Linked DNA regions of Neurospora crassa OR74A. The protein of the gene in region 1 interacts with the protein of each later gene in a pairwise test. Links are inferred from orthologs where the notes say so. Each region holds a gene or a part of one and is shown in the gene's direction. Other genes may lie near its edges.

Region 1 (3,327 bases):
AAGCTCAAGAAGGCTGGCGTCACTATCCTCCACAAGTGCACCACCATTAGACATGCTCAGTCTGCAGTGAAGCTCGGTGTCGATTTCTTGAGCATCGACGGTTTCGAATGCGCCGGGTAGGTCAAGCCATATACCTCATAGCTCCCCTGTTGGCCAGTCTTGCTTATGCCACAAATCACAGCCACGTCGGTGAGTCGGACATTACCAACTTCATCCTCCTCAGCAAGGCCCGCCAGACACTCAATGTACCCTTCATCGCCTCGGGTGGCTTCGCCGACGGCCAAGGCCTCGCTGCTGCGCTCATGCTCGGCGCCTGCGGTGTCAACATGGGCACTCGCTTCCTCTGCACCGTCGAAGCCCCCATTCACCACAACATCAAGGAGGCGATTGTCAAGGCGCAGGAGACAGACACGGCGCTTGTCCTCAGGCGCTGGCGCAACACCACCCGTCTCTTCAAGAACAAGGTAGTGCGGGACGCCCTCAAGGTGGAGAAGGAGAGCAAGACGGGCGAGTTCTCCGAGATTGCCCCTTATGTCAGTGGAAAGCGCGGCAAGGAGGTCTTTATCAACGGTGACCCCGAGTATGGTGTCTGGACTGCGGGTCAGGTTATGGGTCTCATCAATGACATCCCGACCTGCAAGGATCTCATTGCGCGCATCGAGAAAGAGGCCGAGGAGACAATCAAGGAGAAGGTCAAGCTTTTTGCCGCGCCGTCGAAACTATAGAGCCGGTTATAATTGAGTTTCGGCTTGCTGTGCATGCTTGGATTTTGTCGGTGTTTGGGGCAAATGTATTCTCTTGGTTTCCTATTTTCATCCTCGATTTCTTTTTCCTCTCACTTTCCTTGTATGTACAAGTACTGTGCAGGTGATTTTGAGAAGTGGGGACTGGTGTTTCGATACGAATCCCAAGCAGTCGCCTGCTAGGGCCAACGCATCAAACTCAGTAAAGCCATGAATTCATATGACATTCGTGAATGACTTTTTCTTGGCTTCAGATCACCTTTTAAAACTGACCTAAACTCATTAACCTTCCAGATTACGGCTCTACGTAACGAGAATTGCAAGACGACGTTGACGGTATAACATGACAACCATCAAGAACAACCCTAACCCGAAGGTCAGTCCTCACGCTAAAACCCCGCCCTTGGGCACGCGATGGAGCGTTCCCGATTTAACTCCAATGGATGGCGGCACTTCTTGAACAGGCCAACCCTTGCATGACTCCACGGCTGGCACGCAATTGCCAAGCCGTTTGGAGAGCCGATGGGTCCTCCCCCGAGTCAAAGGCGGAGAGGAAGCTAGAGAAACCTCGGCATGTGCTCGCTTGGGCAAAGTCGCAGCCGAAACAGTCCAAAGCTGGCATCCAAGAAGAAGTGACCAGAAAGACTAGTGAGTGATCAGCTATTCTGTTTGAATTTCAAAGTCAAAGTGCGACTTGCGCTGTTCGTGAACCTGTTTGCCAACTGAATTCGTGATCAATTACCGTGATACAAACCCCAAAGGTCAACCTAACCCAAAACCCCCCTCTGAAAGCGTAACTTGGGGAAAGTCTGACCGCCAGCTCAGCTCATCTAACTTCAGCTATCTAGACTATAACCTGACTTGTACCTGAATAACAACAACCCGCCGCGACATCCGACCCTCTTCCGATCCGGAACATTCAACTTCAACCCAACCTCCACGACAAACAAATAAACAAACAAACAAACCACCAATTCCAAACACCCGCGTAAACCGTCCAATTCACATCCCCAAACTATAACTTAGAGAGAGAAAAAAATGGTCGCCGACGCCCTCGTCTACCACCCCGCGGTCTCGCACTACCTCAAATTCGTCGCCACCACGGTCGGCCGCGACAAGCTCCTGCGTCTCTTGCAGTACTTTGCCCGCTTCTACGCCTGGTACCTGCTTCGCACCAACAAGCCCGCCTCGGCGATCCAGCCATGGGAGACGATGAAGAAGCAGTTTGGCCTGGTGCGCAAGGTCATGCGCGCGGGCAAGAACGTCGAGCACATCAAGGCCGCGGCGGTGGCGGCCGACAGCAAGAACGGCGATCCCATTCTGCGGTACCTGGCGGTCGGCCGCCAGCTCGGTTATGCGGGTTATTTGACGTTTGATCTGGGTACCTTGCTGGATGCGACGGGGATTCGCAAGACGGAGAGCGCCAAGAGGCTGGCGAGGGAAAGCCAGAGGTTCTGGGTTATGGGATTGAGCTGCAGTGTGATTGCACAGGCGTACACGCTGTGGAGGTTGAGGCAGAGGGAGGCACGGGTTGATCGCAAGGAGGGCGAGGGTGTGGTGGAGGCCAAGAGGATTGAGGTGTAAGTGCTCCCCCCCCCCCCTGGCTCCCCTATGTTTTTGTTACTTGCGATAATGCGCCTGAGAGACATGATATTAACGATACTTTTGCGAATGTTATAGCGAGCGCGCCGCCAGCCGCATCCAGCTCACTTCGGACCTTTGCGACTTGACTGTTCCCTTGTCGGCCCTTGCCTGGGTCAACTTCGATGATGGCATCGTCGGTCTTGCTGGTACTCTCAGCTCTCTACTCGGCATTTACACCCAGTGGAAGAAGACTGCTTAGAGGGCAGATTCGACATGATGATGAAGAAGAGACACTGCTACGCATGAGGAGGAGGAAAATGGGGTCTTGTTGATCTACGATGAGATGATGGGAGGTTCAATGTTCAATGATGAAGATGGATATATCTTTTGGGTGATTTACTGGGACAACAGCACGCGTAATTTGTTTGACTCGTTTCATCGGTACTATGTTTGTGGTTAATGTGGCAGCTTTCACGAACAGATTTATTTTATTGTTGATGCCTTTGACCATTGGTCAATTTCGGTCTCGTTGATGAAGCCGTTCTTTTCCTGTCGAATGCCTCGCGCTACGGGCCTTTGCTTCCTGGTGCTTACTCCGCAAAGGTTGTGATTGATGGTTTAGACTGGTGAGTTTCCAGACGAGCGAGGGCACGACTCTATGACCCTGACATGTGAGTCTGACTGGGAATGAATGATGCGTGACCAATGTGTGGATCATCACCCATGCCATGATTCGGTTTCATGTCTCCGGCCCGAGGACTTGGGGTTCCGAACCCCGGAGGAGCGGATCGAGGCGCTCCCCCACCCGCCTTATCCCGGTCTGGGGGCCGTGGGCCGCTCCAAATTCCCCGCATGCACCCGGATGGGATGGTTGTTCATCCGTTCTTGTGCCTGCGCAGTCTGCAGTGTGCCCTACCATAATCGGATGGCGTTTGTTACCTGGCATGTTGATGTCCTGCTCCCCTCGGAGCATGAAGCATTGTCTCAAAGTATGAGGCGG
Region 2 (3,982 bases), on another chromosome or scaffold:
GGGTTGTGTAGTCCTGCTTGTCATGTTAGTTTGTTATGTGGTAAAAGGAAGGAGAACTCTTATGGAAGAAATTAGGGAAAAGTGAAGAAGGTACTGTAGTAAGTGAAGAGTGAAGAGTGACGCACATGATCGCTGATATCACCGCTAGAAGCCTTTTCGAGTTCTCGTCGGTGTAGTTCGAGTATTCGTTGCTCGCCCGTGTATGGCAGTAGACTTGGGTCGACGGTAGTGCTTGGTGGTTGTACTGGTACTGGTGCGGGTGCTGGTGCGGGTGCGGGTGCTGGTGCTGGTGCTGGTGGTGCTGCACTTCTTGGTGGCTGCTGCTGCTGCTGCTGCGGGTGACGACTTTGTGAATGTTGACTTTGTGGATACGGTAGTAGTGGTGGTGGTGCCGGTTGCTGAAATTGCTGATATTGTTGGTGTAGATGGTGTAGATGGTGCAGATGATGATGTGGATGTTGATGTTGACCACCACCACCGCTCTTTGGTGGTGTTGCTGGTGGTGGTGGTGGTGGTGGTGGTGGCGGTGATGCCGACCCCTTTCTTCCTTCTTGACCACCGGCCATAGTATTTTCTTGCTCCTCTTGGGATGCTAACGAAACAACAACGACTTCAGATGTCTTTACTGGGCGATGATAAGTACGGATGGTCATCTTTTATCTCCGTGAGCGACGAGACGAGACGATAAGACGGGAAGGGAAGGGAAATAAGAATGATAAGATTGTGGCTTGCAGGTCCGGTGTTTCACTGTGCCGTCCGTAATGGGATGCGCGGCAGGGAAGGGCGGTTGTAGATTGCCGTTAGTAGAGGTAGTGTAGTCTCGTAGTGTGTATGTAGGTAGACGGGAGGGAGGTAGGTAGTTGCCTTGGTCGGTGTTGGTTAGTATCGATGTACCACACACACACAGGAACCGGCAATAAGTCAAAACAGGGAAGTAGTAGGTAATTTATCAATGTAGTGTTACCGGCGGTACAAGTAGTAGGTAGTAGTAGTAGGTATGTGTAAAAGAGCGGGATGGAAACAACACCGACAACGGATGCCCGACAACTCGACGGAATCGAACCAAAGCAAAAGAGGAGAGGGGGGTATCCATGCCTGCCGTGACTACCTAGCATAGTAGCAGTAGTCTACACTACACATCACAGGCACAGGGGGGGATGATTGGGGATGAATGGGCAAATGGGGTAAACTGGCGGGCATCCGTTGCAACCCATTTCTTGGGGTACATGAATGACCTGACAGCCTCGGCTACCTGGCAAGGTCCAAATGGCGGCGGCGGCAAGCAAAAGCAAGCAAGCAACTACACTAGACAGCGACGGGAGCACCCACAGGCCTCCACTGCGCTGCCCGACTTTCAGCTGTCCACTCACAGTGCTACCAAGTGCCACTTTTGATGCGTCGCGGCATCCACTCCTTGGCCCCGGTCTGAGTCCCCCCCCCCTTGTTCGAACTTCCAGGAGGTCGAGGTCCAGGTCCATCTCGCCCCGTTTCTTTCAATTCATCCCAATTATATCGTGAACTTGACTTGACATCAACAAATCCATCGATGGAAACCACGACGGCGATATAATACTAGTAAAACGTCACACCGACCCCCTATCACTACGCGCGACACTGGAACATACCGAAAGAGGAACCTCGAACTCACCCCCTCTCGATACAACCGGCGGGAGCCTATCCCATCCCATCCCATCCCGCCCCCGATAACCACCAGACCGTAACAATACCCAACCGGGCACCGTCGCAACAACCATGGAATTCGTCACCGCCCTCCGCGGCACCTTCGACGACGGCAAGCCCTCCCTCTTCGAGCTTCTCTCGGAACAACAACTCGCCTCCCTCCTCCCGCCCACCCTCCGCTACCTCCTCACCGTGCTCACCCACCGCTACCCGCGCCACCTGCTGCGCATCCTCAACTCCTTTGACGAGCTGTACGCCCTCGCGGGGCTGCTCGTCGAGCGCCACTACCTCAAAACCCGCGGCGGCAGCTTCACCGAGCACTTTTACGGCCTCAAGCGCGAAAAGGCGCTGGCCGCCGAGATCCCGCGCGCGGCCTCTTCGGCGCCCAACCTCGTCCGCGACGCCCTCAAGCTCTCCGATGTCGACATCTGGAAGAACCTGGCCGTCATGGTCGGGATCCCCTACCTGAAACGCAAGCTGGACGAGGCCTACGAGATCGATGCGCCGCGCGCCATGTTGGGCGGCCAGTACACGCGGCCGCCGGCAAAGGGGGCCCCGATGAAGGAGCGGTTCTTGTATTACTACCGCTGGTTTCTACGTAAAGTGTACCCGAGCTTGAACGCGGCGTATTACTTTGCCATCTTGGCGTTTAACCTGGGGTATCTGTTTGACAACACAAAGTACCATAACCCGTTTTTGTGGCTGATCGGGACGCGCGTGCGGCGGATGAACGGGGCGGATTATCAGGCGATTGAGGCTCTAGAGAAGGCAGCGGGGGCCGCCGCCGCTACCTCCAGATTAACAGGGGGGTCGATGTTCAGTCCGAGGAATATGAGTCGAAGGCTGATGGGCGGTCTGTCGCTGGTGCTGCCGACGAGTATTTTTGCGCTCAAGTTCCTTGAGTGGTGGTACGCTTCGGATTTCGCCAAGCAGCTGAGTCGCAAGGCGGCGGAAAGCCTGGATCTGCCGCCGCCGACGGTGACGGGGCTGGTGGAGGCGCAAGCGAGGAATAAGCCTAAACCCAAGATCACGAGGACGTCGGAGGATGGTGTGGAGGAGAAGGCGGATGAGGATGATGAGGCAGAGGAGGAGGCTAGCAGCAAGGAACCAACGCCCGAGACGGCGCCTATAGCGGCTTCGACGCTGTTGCCGATTTTCACGGTGCCACCACCCAAGAGATCTGATATGTGCCCTATTTGCGAGGACGAGATCCAGACGCCGGCGGCGTGTCAGACGGGTGTGGTCTATTGCTTTTCGTGCATACACAAGTGGATGAGCGGGACCCATGTCAGGCAGGAGAAGTTCATGACGAAAGAGCGCGAGGGCAAGTGGGAGAGCGGAGAGGGGAGATGTGCCGTCACAGGAAGGAAAGTGCTGGGAGGGACGGAAGGGCTGAGGCGGATCATGGTTTAGCCGGAAAGAAGATATTGAGGATGATGGATTGGCATGAGTTGTGAAAAGCGAACATTAGACATTATTTAATGGTGGCATATAATCTGGCAAGTTGCATAACCAACATACCGCAAACGAACATGTAAAACTGGACATGCTTACTGGTCAGACAATCAGATTCCTCTATCACCTCGTGGTCGATGAAATGTCAACAGCCATCTTCTTTTTTTTTCTGTACTGCCAAACCGGATGGTTCACGTACGAACAACACGAAGCTCATGCAAGAAAAAAAAAAAAAAAAAGGGGGGGGGGGATCAGAATGTCTATCAACACCGTTTCAGTAACTCGATTAATCTACCTGTACGTACTTCGCGAATCCAAAAAGGCAAAAGAAAGATGCGGTTTGTGTGGATCGAACACACGACCTTCAGATTTATGAGTGAAGTGGACTTCAGTCTGACGCTCTCCCAACTGAGCTAAACCCGCTTTGTTGTTGGACTCTAAGTGCCAAACCTTAACTCATATGGTAGCACCTACCACTTTGCCTGCCATGTTGACCAAATTCGCAATGAAAATGGAATTTCCCATCTTCCTGTATGTCTGTCTACGTCTTGCTTGACGATAATTTCTTTCAGATTACTAGCTAGTCAATTATTTGCCGTGATGAGAAGCGCTATCTAGTGTAGTTGATTTTACTTCAAACCCTGTAGCAAGTGGATGGCGATGTGATAGAGTTCGGTAGGTAGGTAGGTAGGTATTATTGCGATGCTTCTCATTGTATAACCATATACATACGACCACCAGTGAATATTCTGCCTTTCTCTGCCTGAAGAACGCTGTCTTGACTAGGTAGCTGTCTATGGAGAGAAAAAGAGAGAAAACAAAGGGGTAATGGAAATGGAAATGCATA
Region 3 (4,009 bases), on another chromosome or scaffold:
CGGGCTGCCACCTTCTGTATGACGCACTGGGGCAGGGTTGTACGCACGCTCGGTTTCCAGAGGCTTCCTCGGGCGGCTCTGGTGGAGCTCTCGCAGGAAGTTGATATGGAAGGCCGTGTGGTTGGCGGTGACGAGCTTGATTTGATGGTGGGGATCGATGGTCGTTACCACGACGGAGGGTCTGGCTCGTCACGGCGTAAAGGGAGCATTAGTAGCAACCATACGCAAGTGCTTGAAAGCGAGCTTGATGAAGACGAGGGCATGGAGATGTCATGAACAGCTAGGTTCCGCTTTCTGTCACGGCAGAGGATGTCTTTTCACCTCGTCGTTATTCTCCTCGTCATTAGATTTGTTCCATACACAAGCACGGACTGGAAAGAGTGGCTAGTTGGACAAAAGGGCGGGCCTTTAGCACGACGGGAATCGGCACTGAAGGGGTCGCAGGCCCGCTAGATGTGTTAGGTCCCTAGTCAGGACTTTGGGTTGAGGTATGACCGATGTGATGGATAGGATAGGTTGGGCAGACTTGGCTTTTCGTGCGATGAGCTTCTCGGCCATCCTTTAGTAAGGAGGCATTCAGGAAACCCAATGGGATCGGGGAAAGATGCTTACTATTCCACAGAGGCATTGCAAAGGCGTTGGCGTAATTGATGGGTATTCATTGTTAGCGTGCATGTAAGACTGGTCGTTTCTCCTTTCTGTCCTACGGCTAGTAGTGTCCATATTGGCAATCCGAACTATTATTCGGACATTCATACGCACTGATCTGAATTTGAGGTTGGCTTGTTGATTAGGTCTTGAAAGAGAACAGCATCGAGCAATTACAAAACAACCGACCTTGGTTGCAACCTGCCAGAATCATCGATATACCGCACCCCCTGAACTTGGAAGTTGGCGAGCTTAATACGTTGACGTGCAAGCATTTCTCAATCCACCATGTTAAGGAACAATTATACTGCGTACATCCACGTTTTCCTTTATCACAGCTTACATCATGCTGATGTTCGTGGAGTGCAGACTGCAGAGTCGTAAAAGACGAGCACGATGCCCAGCATGCAGCTGACCATGCTGGGTCGGTACCTACCTACCATACATAAAGTGTCCATGCAGGCAGTGTTACCCGCTAAAATGTTGCCGAGGTTCACAAGCCGTCCGAAAGCGATAAAAGCAACAGGAGTGGTCGCTCCCGGACTGACGTTCTCCACCTTTCCGCTGCTACGACATCGTCCCCTCCTGTCAATGCTCGATCCCCTCCCCATAGTGGTCTAGGAAAAGTCGACATTTTTATACCCGAAGGGCCCAAAAAGAAGTCGAGAATAAGACTACGATAAATTATCCTCTGATGCCACGCCCGCTGACTCTACTTATTGGCCCTGATCTACTCGCACACACTCTCTCGCGCTCCCCTTCCCTGAACGAATTTACGCGAGGAAGCCGCCAAACCGGGATCCTCAGCTAAGCCCAGCGCCCTCGCCACTGCGGCAACTCTTTGCCAGCCCAGGCGCTCAGCCAGCTCCCAGCAGCAAAGTGCAGCGGTCCTGACGCTTGTCGCATCGCACGCATTCTGTCCCATCGCTTAAGACTGACGACTGGACCATCCCTAACTAGGCGGCCACCAGTAAACCCCCCTTGTTTTCGTCTTCTCCCTTTACCGGTCCATCGAAGTCATTCCTCGAGCACTACCACCGGCCATCAACGGCGGAGGATCAGATAATCCACACACAATCGCCATGGCATCCCCCCCGAAACCGTGGGAAAGACAAGGCGCGACGTCTGGCGCATCGGGTATGTTTTTTTTCCCGTTCACCATTCCATGTGCGCCCGACAAGCAGGGCACTGACATTGAATCCGCAATGACACAGCGCCCGCACCAGCAGCCTCTTCGGCCGCGACGCCATCACCAGAGTCAAACACGACAACAACAACATCAGGCTCAACCCCGGCCATCCCCGCGAGACCTGCCAGTCTGACCGCCTCCGTCAACCAAAATGCCGCCAACTACAGCAGACCAATGGGCGCGATGGGTACATCACCATACGGGGTCGGCGTAGGCTCGTACGGCACAACATACGGCTCTTCATACGGCTCAGCATACTCGTCGCCCTATTCCAGCCCCTATTCCAGGTATGGGGGTATGGGCGGATACGGCAGTTCAATGTACGGCGGTTACGGCGGGTCGATGTACGGCGGTGGCATGTACGGCGGCGGCGGCATGTATGGAGGAGGTATGGGTGGCATGCCGGGCGATCCCAACAACCCGGAAAGTTTGACCAACCGCTTCAACATGAGTACGATGGCCACATTCCAGATGCTGGAAGGCATTGTCGGCGCATTCGGAGGTTTTGCACAAATGCTTGAGAGCACTTATATGGCGACACACTCGAGTTTCTTTGGTAGGTTATATCATCCTACATGCCCACCTCCAGTCAGGCGCAACTGATATACTAACATCAGCTCAGCCATGGTTGCTGTCGCAGAGCAGTTTGGCAATCTTCGCCAAACCCTAGGCTCCATTCTGGGCATCTTCACTATTATGCGCTGGATTAGGACAGTGTTCGCCAAGATCACCGGCAAGCCTCTACCAGCCGATGTCTCCAGCCTCAATCCAGCCTCTTTTGCCATGTTTGATGGACGCGGGAAGGGCGGTGCTGCAGCGGCTGCCGGTGGTGCCGCCGGTGCCATGCCCAAGCCCAGCCGAAAGCCCCTCATCTTCTTCGTTCTCGCTGCCTTCGGTCTGCCCTACGTGATGAGCAGGGTGATCAAGTCGCTGGCCTCCAACGCTGAGGAAGAGGAAAAGAAGCGCCAGCTCGTTGTCGCGCAACAACAAACCATCGACCCGACCAAGCTTGAGTTCTGCCGCGTCCTGTACGACTTCTCGCCCGCCACGCAGGGGAATGGCGAGATCGTCCCGGGCGTAGACCTTGAAGTTCACAAGGGTGATCTGGTTGCCGTTCTCAGCAAGAGCGATCCTCTCGGCCAGCCTAGCGAGTGGTGGAAGTGTCGCGCCCGCGACGGAAGAATTGGCTATCTACCGGCCACCTTCCTCGAGGTACTTAAGAAGCCAGGTCAGCCTGTTGCAGCTATTGCTGGGGCCCCATCCATCAGCATTGACGGCGACACGAGGGCCAACTCGCTGAGCAGCATCCTCAGCGACGCGGATAAGAAAGTGCTGGTTCCGGCCCTACCGGCGGCCAAGGCTAGCGATATTAGCGTCGAGAGTTTCCAGAAGTCGCAGTTCTTTTCTTAGGGAGGCAAGGAACGCAGGCGGAATGATCTCAGCAAAATGCACATCGAGACGTCGCGGTTCATGCCACGCTCTTCTCGGCTTCGACACTCGGTCTCATTCTCTTAATACACGCCTGATCGTGCGAGCTCTGGATCTACCATGTGCAAAGCGCCGGCCTCCTGGGAGTGGCCCAACACCCAATGGCCATCTAATCGGCTTTCCTCTCCAACACAACAATCAGACACAATAGCAAATCAAATCAAAATCGGATTCTCCTTGATTCGGATTCGCCCAGCCTGGTGGAAATGACCACACTTTCCTACCAGGAAAAAATCACCAAGCAGCTACGTAGAGGCACACGAGAGCGCGGTGAGATAATCAGTCGGAGCATTTCCGGAAGTTTTCGAACTCGTCGGAAGGGTGTAAGACGTCACCAAACAAGCATGCATGCCCACAACGGTCAGTTACGGCATTATCATTATTAAGAGAATGACAAACACTCTCACATCTTTATACACCTGCATGACACGATTATTGCGTGGGTAAACGTCTTTTCACCATAAGTCAATACCCGAGCGAGCCAAAAGGGAGATATAGACACAGAGGACGGCCATGGTAAATGGATGAATGGATGCATGGAGTAAGCGGAAGCGGCGAACGCTGAAAGACATGGACGCACGAGGTGTGAAATCGAAAGGGGGGATGAAGGGAAGTGATAGGCGATGTGAGGCGGTGACCACACCGATGGCACAGGGATGGAACGAAGCGTGGCTAATTAGCCTA
Region 4 (3,510 bases), on another chromosome or scaffold:
TGCAGTCCGTTGACCTTGCCTGCTGCTGTGTCATGCGCACCAGTCAGTCCTCACTCGATGACCCCGTCATCAGCCTTCCCGTCTCCCAGGTCTCCCTTATCCTACGACGCCCATCGCATTTCGACGGCACCTTCATCCATCACTGAGGACAATTTCCAGTCACTGCTTATGGGCGAACCCGGACCAGAGGTACGGATCTCGGTGGATGATGTCCCATCATTGACCAGCGGCGACTCGTCAATGACTCGTGAGAGCTTCTTTGCGCAAAACCCTCAGGCTAGGCAGCTATCCTCCAACACGCTGCCTAGGCCTGCCTCGTTCAGTGCCTCTGCCTTTGGTCGAAGGCGATCGAGTCTTGCTAGCCTTAGCCGTCTTGTTAGCAGCTCGCATGGTGAGCGCAGCAAGCTCTCGATGGAGGTTACGGCGACTGATGACGGATCAGAGAAGAAGGTCAAACCCAGCAAGACCAAGCGGCTCGGCCGGTTTGTACAGTTCTGGAAATCAAAGGAAAATTGCGAGGCTTAACGATATTTTTCAGACGAAACTAGCTAGGAGCATGGGTGTCAAGGCTCTTCTGTTTTAATGTGGCGCTAAGTACGGAATTTTGGGGATCTAGATGAGATTTATTGGAGGGCTTTTCGACTTGACGGATAGGGCGTTTTTCTTTTTGACGATAGCACGAAGGACAAGATAACACGAGACGAAGGGGAGCAGCAATAGCAATCTCGGTCACACCAGAAATTTGTCTAGGGGACGAGATGTTGATTTCTCGAGGAATGATGTGGTTAAGGGACATATGATTCAAAGGTGGACGATGACAAATCTTTTTGTGATTCTATGGACATATCATTGCAAATGTCTACGATCGACTTAGGGTGGAAGGTTTTGATCAGGTGAGCTTCAAACGCAACACGATTATTAGGCAATTCAAACCATGATACCATGCGCTTAAAACGTTGCTATTGTTTATGTCGGTGCCTTTCTGTCTGTGTGGTCTTGTCCATTCCATTGGGGTAATATGGATTGCCGTCCCAGAAAACGAATAACGGCACTTCAGCCTCGGCTTCAGCGACACAAAGGGTTCTTGAGTTTCAGCGCGCCGTAGTGACGCCGCCAAACGGGTTTCAACCACTAGGGATCCGCATCTACGGAGCCACGTAGCGGTAGATGCAGCCGCCGGAAACGCCGATGCGCAGCTGGCCCGTCAGGGGTACCCCGATCAACCGCACTGCGGTGGCAGCAGCAGCAGCAGCAGCACCTCTGTGGGCACAGCACTTTGGACACCTTGACATCAACAAACAATACCTGAGCCCTACACGACCGACGATACGCTCTTTTACGAGATCCAGCTACACTGAGTGGTATTGATCACGGTTCGCCCACCCGTTACAGATCGATCATCGAGGACCGTGCACCAAGAGTCGCTTTACACACGGACAGAGCTATACCGATTTAGCGACGACACCACAGTCGGCAACTGCGGTGCGAGAACCATCCACTTCACGGACACGATTTCCAAACGAGGATACGCAAGTCTATTCCCCAAAGGGCTCCCTCGTTTCTCGTCGACCTGCTCTCAGTTTCAAACGCGGGTTTACCTCTGTGGATCATTTATACTTTCATAGCGTACTACCGAGTACCGAACGACCGACCACTAGCACTGGCGCTGGCGCAACTGAAGACTCGACCTTACGGATAGCATTGACGAAGCTTGACTAATCTCGTTCGTTCGTGTCTGTCTTGCTCTTGGATAAACGAGTCGGAATCACATCAAGGCACCATCGGGCAGCTCCGTTGGAAACGCTGAACAAGGAAGAATAATTATCCCTACCAAATTGAGAGGACACTCAACTATCATACAAAGCGCTACAGAACAAACAAACCGGAGTATACGTTACATACACCACAGACAAGGATACACGCATACACAGACGTACACATATATATAAACAATGTCTAACCGCAGCGCAGCCAAGCGCCTAATCAAAGAGCTCACGACCTGGAGCAACATCGAGTCCAAAGAAGAGAAGGGCGTCGAGCGGTTAGGTCCCATCAACGACGATGAGTTGTTGATTTGGGAGGCCGTGATTAACGGGAAGGGGGTAGGTGGTGGTTATGATGGTATGTCTCTTATCTTTGGTTTTTTTTCCCCTCCCTCCCTCTTATCCATCCCCCTTTCCCTTTTCATGTTTACCTCGCCCCTTCTCCCAAAAGAGCCTCCATTGTTAACGATAACACACACAAATCTCCAGAAGGCCGCTGGCTCCTCCACATAACCCTCCCACCGACCTACCCCCTCCACCCACCAACCATCAAATTCATCACCCCCATCGTGCACGCCAACGTAGCCCTTACCACGGGGGAGATCTGTCTGGACTTGCTCAAAGAAGCATGGACGCCCGCTTACAGCGTTTTGGAGTGCGTGAGAGCCATCAGGCTGTTGTTGAGCTGTCCAGGCATTGACAGTCCGCTTAATGTGGATGTCGCGGCGCTTATAAGGCAAGGGGATCATGTGGCGGCGAGAGGGCTGGTGGAGTTGTGGGTTGAGGAAGAGAGGTATGAGGGGTCTTGAAAGAGTTGGGCAGAGGGCAGGGATAGAGGTGTAGAATGTACGGGATGGATGGAGGGGAGAATGTAAAGAAAGGGTATAGGGGGGGGGGGGGGGGGCTGGATTGGATAGCCGTGGGATGGGAAATAGACCATTGGATTTATTTTGGCTAGTAGCTCAAGCGGGCTGTGGAAGCCTCTTACATACGAAGAGCGCTTATGAGTATGTCATGTGGCTCTGCTCCCTCCAGGCAACAGATGATATTTCATGTTTCCAGACCTTATGTTGCTGTTGTAGCGAATCTTCCAACATGCCAGCCAACGCCTGTGGGCTTGGTATAGATCATTCCTGAGATATACGCTTAGATATCAGGGGCAAGTGGTATTGGTACTCGCCACAGCCACGTTGCTGCCATGTATGAACTTGTAGAGATGCACAACAACTGGACACTTGTGCAGTGACTGGTCATGGTTCCTTACTATGTATATACAAAAGAAAGAGACATCGCTCCAAATCATCGGAGATGGTCTATGCTTACTGTATTAGAAAATGGCTACGGTTGTTAGTCACAAAAGAACAGAACAGAGCGATATACCAACCTGTACTTGATGCCAGCAAGGAACCTAACCGCAACCCCTTACTTTTCATTATGCTATTAGTTTAGGAAAGATGAACTTCAAAAGTCCCCTATGTTTCCTCGCCCATAGTCTAGTATATATCGTCAGAAGTCGTCGCTGTACCCTATGTCTTTGGAAACTTGACCAGATAAGGTTTGTTATAAGATTCCTTGCCCCGGTCGCTCAGAGCTTTTGGAGTTAGCAAAGAGCTCTTCTCTCGACAACGAGCAGACAACCTTGATCATCACACAAGGTTGCGTCTGGCACATCACACATCAGACGTGTATTTGAACCGCGCCCTCCAGCTGTGCACTTTTCGCTTCCCACATTCCTTCCCATAACCCA
Region 5 (3,881 bases), about 1.2 Mb from region 1:
ATTCTTCTGAAACCGGTAACTCGGGTCTATCCTGTGGTAAAGCCATTGAAACAAGTAGTTGAAGTCCTTCTGTGTCGGCGACTTTGTGAAGTTGTCGGACAGCTTGTGGTTCATCTCCATCTCGAAATTGTTCTTGGCGAGGTACTCGAGCAACTCCTGGCCAATGCGATTTTGGAATTGACGGTCTTTGAGGGGGCGCGGATCGCGAGGCACGCCGGCGGGCTGGGGCGCTTGCTGGAAGAAGCTCATATGCCCACCAGCTAAGGGACCTCCGCCGACGGCCGACGGTCGTGCGCTTGGGCGGTAGACGCTGCTTCGCCGGTCGAGTTCTTGCGATGATCGAGGAATACCGGAACTGCCTGGGGTGCCATAGGGCTTGAACTGCGACGTGTTCATGTTATGAACCGACGCGCGCTTTACCGAGCCCAGGCCAATGTCGGAGGATCGCTGGAACAGAGGTTGGCTCGGTCGCGGGAGGGCCAGAGATTGCCTCCCCGACAGAGAGCGACCATGGCCCGTTCCTATTGTGCCGATGGTGCTTTGTCGCTTAAGTGTGGAGGGTGGTGCCGGAATGCCCGACGTGAGGTTGACGCCATGGAGAGTCTACAGAGAGAGCAGAGTCAATATCGTGCATGGTCGCGTCGGATGGGGAGAGGTTTCGACCGAGGAAACACGCCGCAAAGAAAGTCACGGGGGGAAGTCGCACCTCCCTTGGCCGTCGAACACTCCAAAGGCCTGCGTTGCTGTCTTGCGACATGACGGCAAAGGCCTCGTCAATGTGCGCCTCCCTTTTGCCGTCCTAGTCGCGTGGTTTCCGTGATAATATATAAGCAAGCGAACAAAAGAGTGTTACACTACGTGCAACTGTGTCGGATCGATGTCGGCGATGATTCTCTTGGTGGTGATTATGTCGGATAGCTTTGTAGAGCTAAGGTATGCGCTCGAGTTAATGTGGGTACGTGTTCGCGGCTCTGACAGAAATCAATGCATAACCGCAGTCGCGGATTTCGTCGTGTCGTAGCGATAAAAGTACGTGTACGGCCAGCAACCTAATGCAGGCCAGCATAGGTATGTAGGTAGATTAAGACACCGTAGTGTAGACGGGACTAGGTTGTCGACTTCTGCGGATGGTGGGGGAGGTTGCTCCGTCAGGAAGAGTAAACAAAAGAAAGGCGACGTGGGTGGGGCTGTGGAAATCATTGGGCTGAACAGTGCCAAGTGCACTCCAGTTCTCGTCCCCAAGCATCGGGACGGCAGGTGAATGACGGGAGTGGGTCCAAAAGCGACCTTGAGGGTGAGTGTTGGCTCGCTTCAGGTCAGTGCTTTTTCAGCTCTGCACTCCCGTCTCTGAGCCAGTCACTGCATGGAATGGATGCTCAGCTGCGCTCTAGGCCTGTCGGAGGAAAAGGAGAGTCAGGGGAGGAGATAGTGATTTATCTGATCAGCATGCCTCCACGAGTGTGCTGGGGGTGCAAGTGATGCGAAGCTGTTAAGGTGCTATTAGCAGTCCACGTCTAGTGTACAATCAGGCCCCCGGTCCCGTGAACCTCGGCTTCAGGACTCCATCCAGCGGCCCAGCCATCCCCCGAACCGCTGCCAGTCAGTTCGTTTCCACTTCATCTATCGCATTCAGCCTCCCGTCCTTCGATAATCATTCCATCAACCGCCGCCGTCTGCCATCGCGTCGCGACTGTTTCAGCTGTCTGCTTCTTTCCTCTCGTCTGCCCAGTCTCAACAAGGGAACGCCATCTGCCGCATTTCGATCAAACAACATCAGTCATGGCCATCCGCGAGGACCTGGTCGCTTCGGCGGCGCAGTGTATGTTCTGCCCCTGTCTTGTCCCCTGCTACCTCCTCTACATTGCCAGGCCAGAATCTCACCCGACAACAACACCACAGTTCTTCAAGACCCCAGTGTCGCCGCCTCGCCAATCGAGAAGCGGATAGCCTTTCTCCAAGCAAAGAACCTCACCCAGGAAGAAGTCAGCGCTGCTCTCGCCCGCGCCGAATCAGGAGGTCCACCGCCACCGTACGCCCAGTCGCCCGCCTATGCGCAGTCGGCCGGACCCGTCGCAGCACAGGGTGGCTCTCCGCAGTACTATGGCTATCCCCCATACGCATGGCCGCAATCGAATACCGACGGTGTCAGGCGGGACTGGAGGGACCTGTTCATTTTGGCGACCGTAGTCGGAGGCGCGTCGTACGGCCTATACAATCTCGGCAAGGTAGGCCGCCGAACACCGTGCAATGTACATAAAAGGAAATTCTAACCGTTCGGCAGCGCTATGTGTATCCTTTGATTGCTCCTCCCACGCCGGAGCGTCTCGAGCAGGACAAGAAGTCCATCGACGAACAATTCGACAAAACATTCCAACTGGTTGAGCAGCTGGCCAAGGATACCGAAATCCTCAAGGCCTCGGAGCAGGAAAGGACAGAGAGACTCGACAATGCCCTCGAGGAGCTGGAGACTGTCGTCAGGGACCTCAAGGCAGCCAACAGACGCAGAGACGACGAAGCACAGAGAGTACGGGACGATGTGCAAAATCTCAGGGACTCGATTCCAAGGGCACTCAACAACCAGAAGGACTTGACCGACAACAGGCTGCGCGAACTCAATACCGAACTCAAGAGCCTCAAGACCCTCATCTCGCAACGCATGAACCCAACCGCCACCTCGACGAGCGTCAACAACTACCTTCGCCCCAATACTAACGGAAACGCCACTCCTTCTTCAGCCCCTGCCACGCCAGCCCTCGGCGGTGAGAACGGAGACTTAAACAGCAGAGCCGCGAGTGCGCAGGATGAGCAATCCAGATACCAGCAGGAACAGCAGTTCGCTCAACCTGCTGCCCCCAAGCCTTCGCCTTTCAGCAGCGGAATTGCCTCTGCAGGCAAGCCGACTATCCCTGCTTGGCAGTTGGCCATGGCCAACAAAACCGCGTCGGCTTCGACTGTCGGAGTCACGAACGGTACTACAAACGATGGCTCAAGCAGCAACGGAGGCGACGAAGCCGCTTAAAAAGCTGTTCTCCAGTCAGGCACAAAGATAAAATAGCACCGGAACTGGGAAACCTGGATACATTAATCGGCATGAGCATAAGGCCAAAGTGAGCGACTCCCTCTGGTTTTCTGTATAGTAATAAAGCTCCTGTACGTTGTTCAAGCAGGACAATACACAGGAGCACTTGTGAAGCATGGGACAACCTCATTCAGTCCCCTTTCCATGATAGCGCGTTTGTATTTCTGCAAGGTCTTTAAGCGCGGACGTTGCATGGCATTTTCCTAGAGCATGATATCAAAAGCTACCATTTTCACATCTTATAAGGTTAGGCCGTGAATTGATCTGAGACATCCCGTACACCTGACCGCCCAGTATTTCTGCCTCACTATTTTGACCGCTGCTATGGCATTGCCGAGACAAATTTTTGGTTATTGTCCTCAGCCACCCAAAAAAACTGGAGGGGAGGGGCAAAAAAAAAAAAAAGCCATGATCGAATAGAGATGCGCAAACGGTCAAAGAGGGACAACTGGCTTTGGTTATGTCGCCCTCTATTCAGGACTTTCAGCCACATCGGTACAGTCAGAACACCGCGGCCTCTGTAGAGAACTAAAGGATACATTGTAGTGTAGGTATTGATGTCGCTGCCAAATCATTACCTCAGCGTAGCATATGCGTACCCGAGAGGTCGGATGCGGAATATTCTCTGTTAAGACATCCCGGGTTCAAGGTACATACACCTTCGTGCCATGGTTCAGTTTCCAATCGCATCTAATAGTCCTCGTAGCTATTACTTGATCGGGCAATGCTTGCTTGGAACCAAACATTGACCCCACCCATCATCCCTTTCTTCCTGTGCCAATGTTCTCATAGCGCCTTCGTC
Region 6 (3,577 bases), on another chromosome or scaffold:
CCTTGAAAGGGGAATTTCGCACGCGCAGATATTCGATAAGACACTGGCGCAGCCGAATAGCGCTTGGTATCGTCAGGAGAAGTGGTACGAGATAGGTGCCGCCGCAGCTGCGATCGGGTCGGTCAGTAGCAGACCCATTCCGCGTGAAGAACATGCAGAGACATATGAACAGGTCCCCAAGGACCTTGGCGTAGCTGGTGAGAACATCAGCCAGCAAGATATCCCCAAACTTTCCATCCTTGGCCTCAGCCAAACCTCCCACACTGACGCGGCGCAGAGTTGCGAGTAGTCGACGTCGACCGGAGTGCGAAACAGACAGTCTTCGCAGGGGTAGCACGAAGAGGGCTGCGGTCACTGCCAAGTTGGTCATGGGAATCCAGTCATAGTCGATAACGCGTTTTGGATCGCGCCTGGTAAACGACCAAAATGTGAGAATCGAAACAGCGGAGCTTAGCGAAAGAAGAGTCGCAAGACGGTATGTCGAGTGGTGGTGAGGGAGCTGGGTTGGGCTCGATCTTCCTGGGTACCGGATTAAGGAGGGGACGTCGATCTTGCGATTATGGAGGAAGTGAAGGTTGAGGCCCCAGCCCCAAACAGCTAATCAACCAGAGATAGTCAGTTTACAACCGTGTATCCAGAGAGCAAACATACGGTAGGAAACTTGTATATACATACCTATGATCACGATGAAGGCAACCCGGTAGGGAAGGGGAAAGGTCAAGCTGAAGGAGTCGAGCTCCGGCTCAACCACGGGATCACCGTCCATTGCGCCAGGCAGCGGTCAATTTGCTGTCCGTCATGGAATGCGGAGAGGGAGAAGTAACAGTTGGACGCAAAGAAGAGTTGATAGGCTTGGGATCAAATTCCCAGCAGTAACGCGTTTGGAGTTTGTCAAGTGTCAAGATGGAAATTTTAATTTCATCTGTATTGTGGTAGCTGTCGCAAAGACACCGGAGTTGCCAAGCCCCTGTCGCGTGCACTCTTTTTGGCTTAGGGAGAAGACCCGACGTCAGTGCAACCCCTGGTCGCGGCCCCGTCCTGTGACAACCCGCTGCATCATCCCTGCCGCTAAAGCCTGGGCTACGACGTTCTGGGCACCCCCCTGCCAATTCCTCAGCTCGCTCCTTGTGAGGAGGAACCACGCCTGGGGCGGCGCCGGGCGTGCTGCCCCCATTAACCCCAAGGACCGAGGTCCATCCGTTCCCGACTACCACTTTCATCTCAGCTTCAACTGCCGCCTGTCGATCTCGAAACATCAAACAACAACTCGGATAATTTCAGATCGAAAAGACTTAATCATCCACTGCCACAGCTTCGACGATTCGACTGTAGGCATACGAGCTCTCCTAGGGTTCGAGAGTTCCCCCTGAATACGTCGACCGTGTAAACACAGCTTTTGACCCCCCCGACTTCGAGCCCACCCGACCCGACCCAAACGACGACATCAATTACCATGTCATTGACGGCCACCAAGAAGCCTCCTCCGCCGCTCACGAGCTCGCCATATCCATTCGCTGCAGCCCCCGACATTATCCGCGCGCATCAAAAAGATGCCTATTTCCAGGGCGTCCTCACTAACCAGCTGACCGACCTTCACCGGCGCGTTCGCGGTGCCCGCTCCGCCCACTCCTGGGCCACCGAAACCCGTACGGCTGCCGACCTGCTCTACCTATGCCTCACCACCCTCCTCGGCAACCGCACCTTAGGCGAGGAGTACTGCGACCTAGTCCAAGTCGAAGAGCCGAGTACGGGCGGCAACGGCAGGATACCAGACACCCAAAGCCCCGTCGAGCCCAGCAGCGAAGCCGGTGGCCCCCGTCTGCCCTCGCTCCAGCGACGAGCCGGCTACATCGTTAGTAGCGTTCTTGTCCCCTACCTTTTCAGCCGCCTGCTGCCCTCCATCCGCGCCGCGCTCCGCAAGCGCCTCCAGGACCGTCTCACCGTGCTTGCCCGCCAGGGCCGCGGCGACACCAAGGGCGCCACCCCATCTACCTCCAACAACAAGGGCGGTGGTTTCTCCACAGTGTCAACGCTTGAGTACCGCGTGAAGCGCTACCTGCTCACACACCTGACTTCCATCACCAGCGGCGCGCACCTGCACGCCTTGACGCTGGCCGTATTCTACTTTTCGGGTGCTTACTACTCTTTCTCCAAGCGCCTCTTCGGGCTGCGTTATGTGTTCACGCGGCGCATCGAGGAGGGTCAAGGCGGTCGCGCGGGCTATGAAGTGCTCGGCGTGCTGCTGGTGGTGCAGATGCTCGTCCGGGGATACCTGCATGTGACGGCGCAGCTGTCGTCAACTTCGCCGCTTAGTGCCGAGGAGGCCAGTACCGAGGCGAGCATTCGGGAGCGCGCCTTTGGGCCGGGCGCTGCGGGCACACTGGATGTGTCGTTAGATGAGAATGCCTATAGCAGCAATAACGAGTTGCTGGTGGAGACGGGCAAGTCGGGTAACCAGCGTAGTTTGGCGGAGATTGGACGGACGACGCACACCCCTGTGCCCAAGGGCGGGAGGGCGAACTACGACTTGGCGGCGAATGAGGAGGTCATGGGCTGGATCAAGGGGAGACAGCAGAGGATGTGCACGCTTTGCTTGGAAGAGCTGAAGGACCCGGCGGCGACCCAGTGCGGACATGTCTTCTGCTGGTCGTGTATTGGAGACTGGGTGCGCGAGAAGCCTGAGTGTCCGTTGTGCAGACGTGAGACGATGGTACAGCATATTCTGCCATTGAGGGTTGCTTAGAGCAGTCCTTTTCTGGCGGTCGGGGGGGACAAAATACTTAATATACGGGAGATATGACAAAAAGCAGGAGTCTTACAACGTCCTCTCGAGAACAGATTTTGGGTAGTATTTGCACATGACAAGGAGCGAACAGTCAACAACTGCGGTTTAGGGATAATTGTATATGCAGCAAGCATATTGCCAGGAGAGAGAGCCTGTTTTCGTACATAGCCTAATGATTGAATGATCCGACATATTCTCAAAAGGTCAGGAACTTTTGACAAGCTAATGCACATATGTTCAAGTATGAAATTGAATTATTCCTTGTCCGATATTAATATTTGGTATTTACTCTACAAAAACTTCTCTTGCTTGATTAATATCGAGTCTCGTCCCGTTTGGGTCTTAATCAAGACCCGAGCAACCTCGACATAGGTCCAAAGGGTCATGAAATACATACACGAGGTGCGAAAGAGAAAATATGACACCTCAATGAAAGCCTCAAGTTCCGACCCATCTTCAAGCATCAAGCCACCAAGGTCGTGGTTGTCGTACTTGTGCTTCGCTGTCCCCCAACAGCTCGTAATCGTGGACGCTTTCGCGTCATCAAGATCGTGGGCACATCATATGCCTCCCCTTCAACAGAAAGACCCATTTACCGTATGGAATGAGGAGAGAGCGACGGCGCGGATTTCGTTGTCGAATCGAGCTATTTCTTTTCGGGGTCTCCTGAGGAAACCCTTTGGATGAATTCTGCGATGGCTTCAAAGTAGCCTTCTTCGAGGACACTCGAGTTATGGTCGCCGTTGGGAAGAGGCTTCCAGATCTTTATCGGAGCGTTGGAGAGATGATAAA

Evidence for each region.
Region 2: the proteins of pex11 (region 1) and pex12 interact in a protein complementation assay, tested with the Saccharomyces cerevisiae proteins (2 studies listed by BioGRID). The link is inferred for Neurospora crassa OR74A from reciprocal best matches to the Saccharomyces cerevisiae genes PEX11 and PEX12.
Region 3: the proteins of pex11 (region 1) and pex13 interact in a protein complementation assay, tested with the Saccharomyces cerevisiae proteins (2 studies listed by BioGRID). The link is inferred for Neurospora crassa OR74A from reciprocal best matches to the Saccharomyces cerevisiae genes PEX11 and PEX13.
Region 4: the proteins of pex11 (region 1) and pex4 interact in a protein complementation assay, tested with the Saccharomyces cerevisiae proteins (2 studies listed by BioGRID). The link is inferred for Neurospora crassa OR74A from reciprocal best matches to the Saccharomyces cerevisiae genes PEX11 and PEX4.
Region 5: the proteins of pex11 (region 1) and pex14 interact in a protein complementation assay, tested with the Saccharomyces cerevisiae proteins (2 studies listed by BioGRID). The link is inferred for Neurospora crassa OR74A from reciprocal best matches to the Saccharomyces cerevisiae genes PEX11 and PEX14.
Region 6: the proteins of pex11 (region 1) and pex10 interact in a protein complementation assay, tested with the Saccharomyces cerevisiae proteins (2 studies listed by BioGRID). The link is inferred for Neurospora crassa OR74A from reciprocal best matches to the Saccharomyces cerevisiae genes PEX11 and PEX10.

What each region holds. Positions count from the first base shown.
Region 1 is NC_026506.1:876,850-880,176, reverse strand, and holds pex11 (peroxisomal biogenesis factor), read left to right. Parts: upstream 1-1,332; 5' UTR 1,333-1,504; exon of another isoform or gene 1,505-1,591; 5' UTR 1,592-1,781; coding exon 1,782-2,323; intron 2,324-2,423; coding exon 2,424-2,586; 3' UTR 2,587-2,827; downstream 2,828-3,327. Other genes in the region: npd-2 (2-nitropropane dioxygenase family oxidoreductase), read left to right, coding at 1-116, 182-725. UniProt on the Saccharomyces cerevisiae protein: Involved in peroxisomal proliferation. Promotes peroxisome division and biogenesis.
Region 2 is NC_026504.1:5,625,390-5,629,371, reverse strand, and holds pex12 (peroxisome assembly protein 12), read left to right. Parts: upstream 1-1,427; 5' UTR 1,428-1,752; coding exon 1,753-3,093; 3' UTR 3,094-3,482; downstream 3,483-3,982. Other genes in the region: NCU05244 (thioesterase), read right to left, coding at 1-13, 126-653. UniProt on the Saccharomyces cerevisiae protein: Component of a retrotranslocation channel required for peroxisome organization by mediating export of the PEX5 receptor from peroxisomes to the cytosol, thereby promoting PEX5 recycling.
Region 3 is NC_026501.1:2,931,239-2,935,247, forward strand, and holds the start of pex13 (peroxisomal membrane protein), read left to right. Parts: upstream 1-1,209; 5' UTR 1,210-1,730; coding exon 1,731-1,785; intron 1,786-1,862; coding exon 1,863-2,393; intron 2,394-2,459; coding exon 2,460-3,247; 3' UTR 3,248-4,009. Other genes in the region: NCU02617 (kelch repeat-containing protein), read left to right, coding at 1-276. UniProt on the Saccharomyces cerevisiae protein: Component of the PEX13-PEX14 docking complex, a translocon channel that specifically mediates the import of peroxisomal cargo proteins bound to PEX5 or PEX21 receptors.
Region 4 is NC_026501.1:3,007,527-3,011,036, reverse strand, and holds pex4 (ubiquitin conjugating enzyme), read left to right. Parts: upstream 1-1,233; 5' UTR 1,234-1,952; coding exon 1,953-2,121; intron 2,122-2,252; coding exon 2,253-2,572; 3' UTR 2,573-3,010; downstream 3,011-3,510. Other genes in the region: NCU02637 (hypothetical protein), read left to right, coding at 1-525. UniProt on the Saccharomyces cerevisiae protein: Catalyzes the covalent attachment of ubiquitin to other proteins. Essential for peroxisome biogenesis. Required for UBC4-independent ubiquitination of PEX5.
Region 5 is NC_026506.1:2,098,105-2,101,985, forward strand, and holds pex14 (peroxisomal membrane anchor protein), read left to right. Parts: upstream 1-1,365; 5' UTR 1,366-1,779; coding exon 1,780-1,819; intron 1,820-1,899; coding exon 1,900-2,225; intron 2,226-2,281; coding exon 2,282-3,019; 3' UTR 3,020-3,381; downstream 3,382-3,881. Other genes in the region: NCU03899 (HEC/Ndc80p family protein), read right to left, coding at 1-603, 707-757. UniProt on the Saccharomyces cerevisiae protein: Component of the PEX13-PEX14 docking complex, a translocon channel that specifically mediates the import of peroxisomal cargo proteins bound to PEX5 or PEX21 receptors.
Region 6 is NC_026501.1:5,159,126-5,162,702, reverse strand, and holds pex10 (RING-1), read left to right. Parts: upstream 1-1,180; 5' UTR 1,181-1,453; coding exon 1,454-2,743; 3' UTR 2,744-3,077; downstream 3,078-3,577. Other genes in the region: NCU03278 (protein-ER retention protein), read right to left, coding at 1-597, 676-766; bem46 family protein, read right to left, coding at 3,432-3,577. UniProt on the Saccharomyces cerevisiae protein: E3 ubiquitin-protein ligase component of a retrotranslocation channel required for peroxisome organization by mediating export of the PEX5 receptor from peroxisomes to the cytosol, thereby promoting PEX5 recycling.